2 linked regions of the Neodiprion lecontei genome follow. The protein of the gene in region 2 purifies or fractionates together with the protein of the main gene of each other region. This does not show direct contact. Links are inferred from orthologs where the notes say so. Each region holds a gene or a part of one and is shown on either strand. Other genes may lie near its edges.

Region 1 (5,055 bases), on a different chromosome or scaffold from region 2:
GGCATCTGTTGCCCGAGCTCGGCCTTTGCACTGCACGTAAGACTGATAGCTCTTAGGGAAATCATACCTCATCACAAAATTGCATTTTGGTATATCTATTCCTGGAAAATTTATAGTTCAAAATGCACATTGCTTTTTAAAAAACTTTAGAAACTGGCCATTTACTTACAACAATACATACCCTCCTCCAATATCGATGTAGCAATTAATAAATTACATTCGTGTATTCGGAAGCTTTTTAAAACCTCCTCTTGTTTCCGATGTTGAACCTCCATGTCATGAGCAGAGCTTGTTCCCTCAGGATTCTTTTCAATTGTATAAAGTGGGGAGAGAAATTGTAAATCTTTGTCATACTTACAAGCGTCCTGGAGAAAAATAATCAACTCTTTGTAATTATATTTAGTTTATGACAAGTATTTGTATACCCAAATCTCACAAAAATGTAATATTAGGTTTGGAATGTTAGAATAACTTTTGTTGTGTCTTCTTTGTTTTTATGTAAAGAGTAAAGATATTAAAAGCAACAAAAACTTACATTCAATAGATAAAATAATATTTTTGCTGTAAATCCTTTATCCACAAAAATAACTCCGCACAACAGATCTGGATCAATTTGAGTACGTGGATACCGTGATTTTGGAGGTCTTTTAATACCAGTTCGTAGCTTTTTGACATTTCCAATGTATTTTGATTGTTGGAGGCCATCTTTTCCAGTATCAATGTCTTTCTTGCAGGCAGATACACCTTAATTAACAATGCATAAGGATATGGTTAATTATGAAACCACTGTTTCAACAGTGTCAAATGTTTCAACGTACTGTGTCCATTGCTCAGTTTGTTGTCTGGGATAGTCAATTCTTTTTTGCTGGATGGGGCATAACACTTGAGTATATGCAATAGTCGATGAACACATGGAGTGGAGAATTTGTATAATTTTTCTCTTTCGCTCAAATTTTCAAATTCACTTTCACAAATAGCTCTAGAAACCAAACAAACCATAATGTCTCGGTTTTTGTATTATATCAATTATAACCAAATGTATAAATTAGAATTGAGGGTAGAAGTGAAGAATCTACAGTGGCAAATCTGTTGGAGGAGTTTGACTACTCAATACTTGATATTTCATGAAACACATACCTTATTTTAATAAACAAGGAAACCACAACGTTGAATAATAAGTAGTGTCGCTCATAAGGGGTTTTTACTTTCAGCTTTTCTGCTTGAATTAGCAAAGCTAGAGCAGCGTGATTGGCGCACCAAGCCCCGAATGTTTGAAGTACGTACAAAAAGTCTTCTATCATTGAGCAAGGTTCCTGTTTAGGATCAGGAATCTTCTGTATGTCCTCGAGGAACTCATCGTTGTAAATTTCAGTGGGATCATAGCGATGATCACACAAAAAGTTCATAGCATGCATAGCACAGTTCTCCAGAGTCTGGTTTAATTCTTCATATTCGCCACATTTGTATTCTACAATGTACTCTTTTGGTTTTGGACTATATCTGAATCAAAATTGAATACATTCTTATTTTACACAAAACATAGTAATTGAGTGAACAAAGTGAAACAAACACAATAAGTAAGAAGATACAAACCTTAATACTGATACAATATCACTGGCTGTTTCAATTCTACAATGAAAGGTTTTTTCCAAAAGTTCAACTTCTGCTTCCAGTCGTCCTGGCTGACGAGTTAGATTAAAAACTGGTGCAGCAAAACCAATTAGTCGAGGACCGTTAGAGACATTAAATTTTTGTAAAACAAACTTTAGCTTTTCATCATTGACTGCTTTGTGGCATTGGTCTACAATTGCCAAATTTATTTGACTTGGATAAATTTTATTCTGATTCAACAGATCTGCACAAACATGTGATGTAGTAACAATCACCTTTAACAAATAAAATAAATCTGTATCAACAAATATGAACACAAATGATACAGACTTTATGTAGATTTAAATAACTTGTAAGATTTTCGTAAAAATGAGACATACATCAATCATGCTGTTGTTTTACATCACAATATTGGACGTTGATAAAATAGACTGCTATATAACACTTGTATATTTGATAATTGTGCGCTACTTTTTTGAGGAAGATTTGAACAAAGATCGAGTCTCTTAAAATAAAGACTTGTATTTTGAAAATCATACAGATATTACAGAATTACCATATTGAATAACTGGTTGAAAATTGAAATAAAATTTATATCGTTGATAACATATATCACCTGACTTTCAGCGAATTTTCTATCGAACTCTGGCCATGTCTCAGAATCACAGATAAGTACGCGTAGATCTGTTAATTGTTGTATATATACAGCTTTGGTTAAACATCGATCTGTATCTCTTAGAATGTATACTGAGCGCTTGCCTCCTTCTGACGGAGATCTGTGAACAGATGGAACTCAAGTTATCCAAAGATTTGAAGATGAAAAAACAACAATTGTAAAGAGAAACGACATAGCTTTACCTTCTGTTGTTAGTCGCCAACTCTTGAATTAGTTTGATAACAATAAATATTTGTTCAGAATTTTTTCCTAGACAAACTATTATGTTGCTCTCTAAAGCTGCGTAGAGGAGCTCCACCTAGCATAAAAAATTTTCACAAGGCACTAATTACTTCGATTTGTACAACTTGTTGAAATAAATAATGGAATTCAAAATGTAATTTGAAAAATGTAATTTAAAAAATGTAATTTGAGTAATGATAAACGAACTTTGGAAATTAGTTATCACTACATGTATGTTTTAGAATTATGTCTTATTTACTCACTTGATATTCTCTAGGAGAGAAAGACTTAGTATGAACTTGATCATTTAATGGAAATGCCATGGAGATTGTAGTAATGAAATGTTTTTATATCGTTGAACGTATAAAACCCAATTACGGGTTGTTTGATTTATCAAAAAACTAGCAAAACGTCAATAATAACGTAAATCAAGGTGAAACCTTATCGAAATGTGCACTCTAGACGAATAACAGTGTTGTACGGCTATTTTTATACGAAAAGATTTGACCAAATTTTAGGTTATTCTGCTTGTCAAATAATCGGCGGCACACAGATCTGTCTTCGCGATGTGAACCATAATTAATACATAGATTGGAACTCTCTAAAAACATTTGTTTATTTGCTCTAAAGAGCTGGTAGTAACCAGCATCTGGTATTGACAATCGGAACTGATATTTAAAGAGGCTGTGTACTCCAATAAATTGGTACGTATGTATACAATCAAATAAAAAAGTACATACAATCGGTAACTCTTCGAATAGTAGGCATATCATGAGCCTGAAAGGTGCGTTTACATTGGAGCTTCAATGTAGACGCACCTTAAAGCCTCACGGGGGCGCCATGCTCGATTTCGACGTGACGTATAGGTATATGTCAATGCAAAAAAGGGCTCACAGCCCGTTCTACCTATATGCGTTTTTGAACAGACACACACCAATTCATTTTCATTCGATGCAGAAATAAAGAAATTCCATGCATTGTAGAAATCTTTGTTTAGAATGGCGTATAGAATGGGGCTGTTGAAACCCTTGTTTACATTTGAGATGCGTGGACTTCGATATTTAGAGGTATATATGTCAACGTCGAAATCGAGCAAGGCACCCCCTTAGAATACGAAAAAAATTGCTAAAAATGGTAAGCACGACGTGACGCGAGTAGCAATAAAAAATTGTCAAGATTTGAACAAATGACAGATTATATGTACAAAAGAACGCATAATAGCACATCCCCGGTTTTTCTGCGTTGCTGGCTCGCATTCAGTATATATATATATTTCACTGTTCCATTCTAGACTAAAGAAGCGAGACATTGAAATCACATTAATTATATTATTTATAAATATGTTGCATACAAATAATAATAAGCTGTAAAACCCTCGCTCGTTAAAGCTCGCTCGGGGTCGGATGCCTAGTGCAGCTGGTTTTTATTCTTGTGCGCTCGCTTACTCGTTGTTAGTGTTTTACCAGATGATACGAAATTAATGAGATACCTCAGGCCCTCACTGCTCACTGCACAGTGCAGGAACTACGAAGCACTGGTCCTGGAGGTCGAAATTCACTAGGTAGCGAACCTGGAGCGCAGGCACCATAGAAAATTACTCGTAACGGTCAAAAGTCAACAGGTCAAGGACCTGGACAGCCAGAACTACGGAGTGCTTGTCTCTGAAGTCCAGTTTCTCCAGGTAGAGGACTTTGAGCGCAGAAACTACGGAGCGCGAGTCCTGGAGGTCGAGATCCACCAGGTGGAGGACCTGGACAGCCATAACTACAGAAAATTAGTCCTGAAGGTCAAAAGTCACCAGGTCAAGGACCTGGATCGCCAGTCCTATTGAGTGCTTGTTCCTGAAGTAGAGTTTCAACAGGTAGCGGACCTGGAGCGCAGAAACTACGGAGCGCTTGTCTGGGAAGTCGAGTTCCACCAGGTAGCGGACCTGGAGCGTAGAAACTACGGAGCGCTTGTTCCGGAACTCGAGTTGCACCAGGAAGCGGACCCTGAGCGCAGGATCCAGGAGGTGGAGAACCCGGTACTCGAAATTTGCGGAGCCCGATTCTCATCCGTCCGCTCTACTGCGCGGTTGTTTTCAGAATGATGAATTCGGTTAGCTGATTTTCGTCGTCGACGATTACTATAGATCGATGACGTCAGAGAAAAAAATTTCGGTGACGTCACTTTCTGAACATCCGAACATCCAAATTCTGGTTTTGAACTTTAATACTATGTATGATGTATAAATATGTTGCATACAAATATAATACCTATGTACATACGTATATATATATATTTACAGTTTATTTTACATAGTTAATACATGGTCGCTTGAGTAAGATCTTTATACCTATTGTCCCATAGATATTTAATTATTTCGACAAATCCTTCTTAGAAGCAGTTTCGTTAGATCATCAATAAATTACTGACGGGAAATTGTCAGAGTGAAATAAAATATATCTTCACTTATTGCAAAGAACTACATAATTGAATTATTTGCGATTTGCGGATTGTGTCAAGTACTTTTGGTCATAAGGTAATTCATTTCTAAAGCAAGCTCT
Region 2 (5,066 bases):
CATGCGAACTCATCATCATTTCACACAGAAATAAGCGTTTTCGCGTTTGAGATGTGTGGGCTTCGATATTTGGCGATATATACTCCACCGTCGAAATCGACCAGGGCACCCCTTAACCGTATATATGTATGTACTGTCTTTTCTTTGTATTCATTCCATTGTGTAATCCAAGCACCTAATTTTTGACTGCTTACTCGTTCAGAGGCATGTATTACGAAAATAGAATTTCTTTCGACATCCAAAATTGACTTCACTTTACTCTTTAGTTTTCTGATGAGTAATAATGAAAGGCAAAATAACAATAATAATGTTATTCTAATGTACAACCGATGTAGTTGCAACAGCTGCGGTAAAAAGTACGAATACATAATGACCTGCATTGAAACGCCTGTTGTATGTTGTATGTTTACATTTTATGTACGTAATCTACACACCGTGTCTGCAATATGCGAAAAGAATTTTAGGCATTGAAATGATCACGTACTTTTGATGCAATTATTGAAATTCAATGCGATTATTGGGATCCACATTACACAAATCTATGAATTTTCTTGCTTTCTGAATTGTTGATTATAATACATCATAACTACTTGAAAATTGGATTTGGAAATTTTTAAGATCTCGGATTCATTGAATAAAAAGAAGTCGTTTGGTGTGAAAAATACGTCAGCCTTATACTCGATCTTTGTGTATTGGTTTTTTCACTTGTTCGAAACGGATCGCTCGATTTTTAATTTTATTGACGTTAGATTCGAGGGAAAGAATTTCTTCCACTGCGAAATCGAGACTATTTTGCTTTTTACATTCGTCTCCTCGCTTGTTCGAAGTAAGCAGTCAACTTTTAAAATCATGTATTCGGGATCATGGCAGGAAGAGGATTTGTCTTGAATTAGTAATTAATCAAATTGACTCAATTTTATGTTTATTCGAAATGTATTGATCGATTCGAAATTTGCCAGACTTCAAAACAGAAAAACGATGATTACTTTCTATCCCTGGTAAAAATGACCAATCGTTAAATACGATTATATTTGTATTTTTTTGGACTTACATTTGTGTAATTGTACAATAACATTCCGGATACATTTCGAATACAACAAAAACCGTTCACATCCCCGAAAAAGACAGTCTGTATTAATTTTTCCTACATTTTTACAAGGATACGCCATCCATAATACTGCCTTTTTATGTCGTTTTTTCACTCATTCGGAACGAACCGCGGGTCAGTTTCAAAGTTTGCATAGTTGAAATCACTAGGAAGTAATGACAGTTGATATGCAATATCAATTTCGCTAATTAAGTCACAAATTTTACAGTTTTTCGATAGGGCAGAAAAAAACTTTGTCTCTTAAATTGCACAATTTCAAATCGCACGAAGATAATACATTTTTATGCAAAATCAAGCACATTCAACACTTTTTAACGCGTGTCTATCACTCATCCAAAACCCACTGATTGATTCGAAATCTCAAATATGTCGGATGACATGAACGAGAAGAATACGCCGTGTGATAGGTAATTTTCGTTCATTTGTTATCAAATCCGAACTGTTCAAAAGTGGAACGGGCTACATTTGATCCACGATTTTATTAATCAGCAACATCATCACTGTGATTCGACACGAAACGAGCCGACTCAGTTTCATTGGGCTCTACAATTACACGCATAATTCCTTGTCGCGATTTTCACATAGGTATGTATAATAACCATGATATGAATCTACGCACATATCGTTGAAATTATCATTGTTATTATCATCATTGCTGTCATCATTGCGATCATCGCCATCGCATATCGTCTGCATTACACGTATAAGGAAATTTATCGTTAACGGAGGAACAATTCAAGGTCAATGCCAAAATGCTTGATTTTGTCCAAGGTGAAGTTGCCCTTGATTTGTTGCAGGAGGAGGGGGAGGGCGGGAAGTTAGGTTAGGTTAGGGGTGGAGGAAGGGTTGAGAACGAGCAAGAAATAGCGAGCGAGAGTGAGAGAGAGAGAGAGAGAAAGAGAAATAAAGATTAAGAAAAGGAAAAAAATCTGAAATAGAGACGCTACCATCCATTGGGATAATCGTGATTATATCGGTGATGATGAACACTGAAGGTAATTATTATTTCATAACGAATATTCTTCAGTAGTGGGAGGTAAAACGAGAACGTACGAAAAATACTTGGCGCGGGCTCTACTGAGTCTCTTGTATATATATCTATATATATATATGTATATAGGATTTAAATATATATACACATATAAGTATAAGTATAAATATATATATATATATATATATATATTGGATGAAGTGATGTTTTACCGTGTCATAACTATTTGCTGTATTATATAAATAATCCTGATGATTTTTTTCTGCTTATAAGCTCTAGTCAATTTTTTGATTCATGGCCGTCTTTTTTTTTTCTTAATCTTGGTTTTTCAGTTTAATTTGTATTTAATCCGATGACACGTCAGGTGTTTTTTTCTATTGTCAGGGTATAAGAATGAGGAGAAAAGAAAACGAACGGGGGGTAGGATTTGGGGTGAAACGAGTCTAAACACAGGGATACCCCACCAGCCGCCAAAAAGCGACAACCGCCGCCGACTAACCCAAGTGTCAAGGTTGCCATTTTTACTAACACTCACGTTGCTGTCATAACAATGATATTACGATCCAGTGCCGTCGATCCCGCCGCACTCGATAAACAATGACACGTAGTTTATTTTCTTGAGTACTTGTTCATCACTGTTTTAGTGATAATTAAAATGTTACATACGATTTATACTTTTACGGTTTTTGATTAGCAGGAAAAACATACGATCTCGATGTAAACGTCTCGCGGTTTCTCGTGGTTTTTGTTGTTGTTGTTGATCCTGATGGTTTGTTGCCGTATTTTTTTCCCCCCCCTCTCACCCTATTTTCGGGGAGGTACAGCCACAACAGCGTATTATATTATATATTGTACAACCGCCAGCAAGTAGATACGTTCCCGGTTAACAAGTTTGTAAGAGCTTTCGCGACATTCGCAATGCATTCTTTCAGGCGGTCAGGCTTAATCCCCACTACTTGTTCGATTCTGATCCGAGATGCGCATGACCAAGTCGCGCGCGGCCATCGCAAACCTCAGGGACGGCAAAATAAACAGGGGCAATGGGCAATAACGCGCTATTAACCGTTACTCTCCTTTTACATTTTCATTTGAAAATGTAACCGTTTCCGCACCGCTATTCTGCCCCTCTAGTTTCACCTTTTTCATCGCTTTTGACTCCCGCTCCAATTTATTCGAATTTTGAACCTACGGTTGTCTTTTTCGCGCCTTCGAATCGTTTGATTTACCAAACGATCATTGGGATCGTTTTCTAACCTATTTTTCCCCGCGCAGAGAAAAAACAGAATGAAAAATTAGTTGCCGCGTTTTTTTGTTCGATTTCGAAACGGTAATTTGGCTCGTTAACCGTTCACGGCTTCGTTGCATAATTAACAAATCACGAGTCTACCCGATTTTCACTCGTTCCTGAACGATGCATATAATCTGTCGGCCAATCAGAATCGGTTGTAAATTAACCAGGCAAACTTCACCTGACACCGTTTCGCTCTTCTCCCCTTGCAATTGCACCGAGGCTAGTAACATACCGTCGCTGTTTTGCAGTCTTATATATAGGCCGTTTAGTTTTTCTTCATTTTCTGTGTTACTGAAATCGTTTGATCTGCAAATTTCATCATTATAACCTCTTCCGATCGCGGTGTAATTCGCGTGAAATTTACGTTATCGGGGAAGTATTGAAACGGCAATAAACGTGTCAACCCGCGAGAGGGAACATTGAAATACGCTACTTTCTTCTTGCTAGCAACATCAACGTTCTATATCGATTACTGTGATATCCTATCAAGCGCTAGTGCGCCGCAAAATCTGTCCTCCCATTGGTTACAAATTTTCCCGCCGGTTACGGCCGGTCTTTCTAATTTATTTCAACATCTCGCTGTACTCTCAGGTGATTCTAGTCGGCGCTATGATTTTAAGTTACAAATGAAATGAAATGAAAAAAGGGCGAATGACATAGTTTTAATATCGAATGTAAAATTTAACACATTGCTAACGTTACGCAGCGTATGACACTGAGCTTAAGCGGTGTTGACTGCAGATGTATAAACACGGCTAGTTCTGGGTTATTTTTCGTAACGATTTGTCGGATCTGGTGGTATTAGCAGTTCAATGTATTATCAACCCAGTAGCTGACTACGCCGGTAAAACTTCATAACCAACAACTATCTGAACAAATATTCTGAAACATTTTTCACTTTGCGGATAATAAGTGGAAGACATGTTAAAATTGAAAATTTCAAACAGTTACGTACCTGGATTTCAATCAATGGAAATTATCCAAGTGCCTAAAGAAATAGATGAATGAATAATGAAATATATAATTAGATTCGTTGCAAAATACTTGAAATGAAAACTATAATTTTTGTGAATTTATTTGAAATTTTGATAAGGTATTAACATTGTTTTTAAGCAATACAACTTTTTACAGCAAAATAGATTAAATAAATTATTTCACTTTCTGCACAATATTGACGTACTTGTCAGAGTAAATTATTTATCTCAATTTTTGAAATGGTGAAATTTGAAATTTTATTATTATCAATTCAAATTTTCTCAAAGAGCCAAAAAGTTAGCAAAAAAATCCTTTCATCACGGGAATAATTTTGAAATGTTACGAATATAAATGACATAGTCGAAAAGTCCACGCTTGTTATTAAATAACTGATTTTCAAAGAAAATGATTTGCTGGCTTTCCGATCATTACATCCTGTTTCTACAGGTATTCGACATTATCCGTAACATCAATTTTTATCCTGTCGGTTGTACGTACTACCATTTTCAAAAGATCTCATAGTTATAATTATGTGACATTCCACATCAAGTGAAGTTGGACCATGTATAATTACACCTTGCACTTTTGCACATTTATTTAATTTCAAGAACTTTGAGTATACTGTTACATGTCCAAAAGAATAAAGTTGAAGGAGTTGAAGAAGTTGTTGAAAGAAAGGTGTGTGGCTGATAGCCATTTGA

The links.
Region 1: the proteins of protein argonaute-2 (region 2) and endoribonuclease Dcr-1 purify together in Drosophila melanogaster (affinity purification with western blotting; 5 studies listed by BioGRID, with this or other methods). This does not show direct contact. The link is inferred for Neodiprion lecontei from reciprocal best matches to the Drosophila melanogaster genes AGO1 and Dcr-1.

What each region holds. Positions count from the first base shown.
Region 1 is NC_060263.1:27,267,211-27,272,265, forward strand, and holds the start of endoribonuclease Dcr-1, read right to left. Parts: upstream 3,238-5,055; 5' UTR 2,833-3,237; coding exon 2,773-2,832; intron 2,586-2,772; coding exon 2,470-2,585; intron 2,388-2,469; coding exon 2,228-2,387; intron 1,887-2,227; coding exon 1,594-1,886; intron 1,501-1,593; coding exon 1,138-1,500; intron 980-1,137; coding exon 819-979; intron 745-818; coding exon 536-744; intron 366-535; coding exon 182-365; intron 102-181; coding exon 1-101. UniProt on the Drosophila melanogaster protein: Endoribonuclease which functions in microRNA- (miRNA) gene silencing and, independently of its ribonuclease III activity, also acts in the short interfering RNA- (siRNA) gene silencing pathway.
Region 2 is NC_060264.1:19,737,028-19,742,093, forward strand, and holds the start of protein argonaute-2, read right to left. Parts: upstream 3,100-5,066; 5' UTR 2,808-3,099; exon of another isoform or gene 2,629-2,807; intron 1-2,628.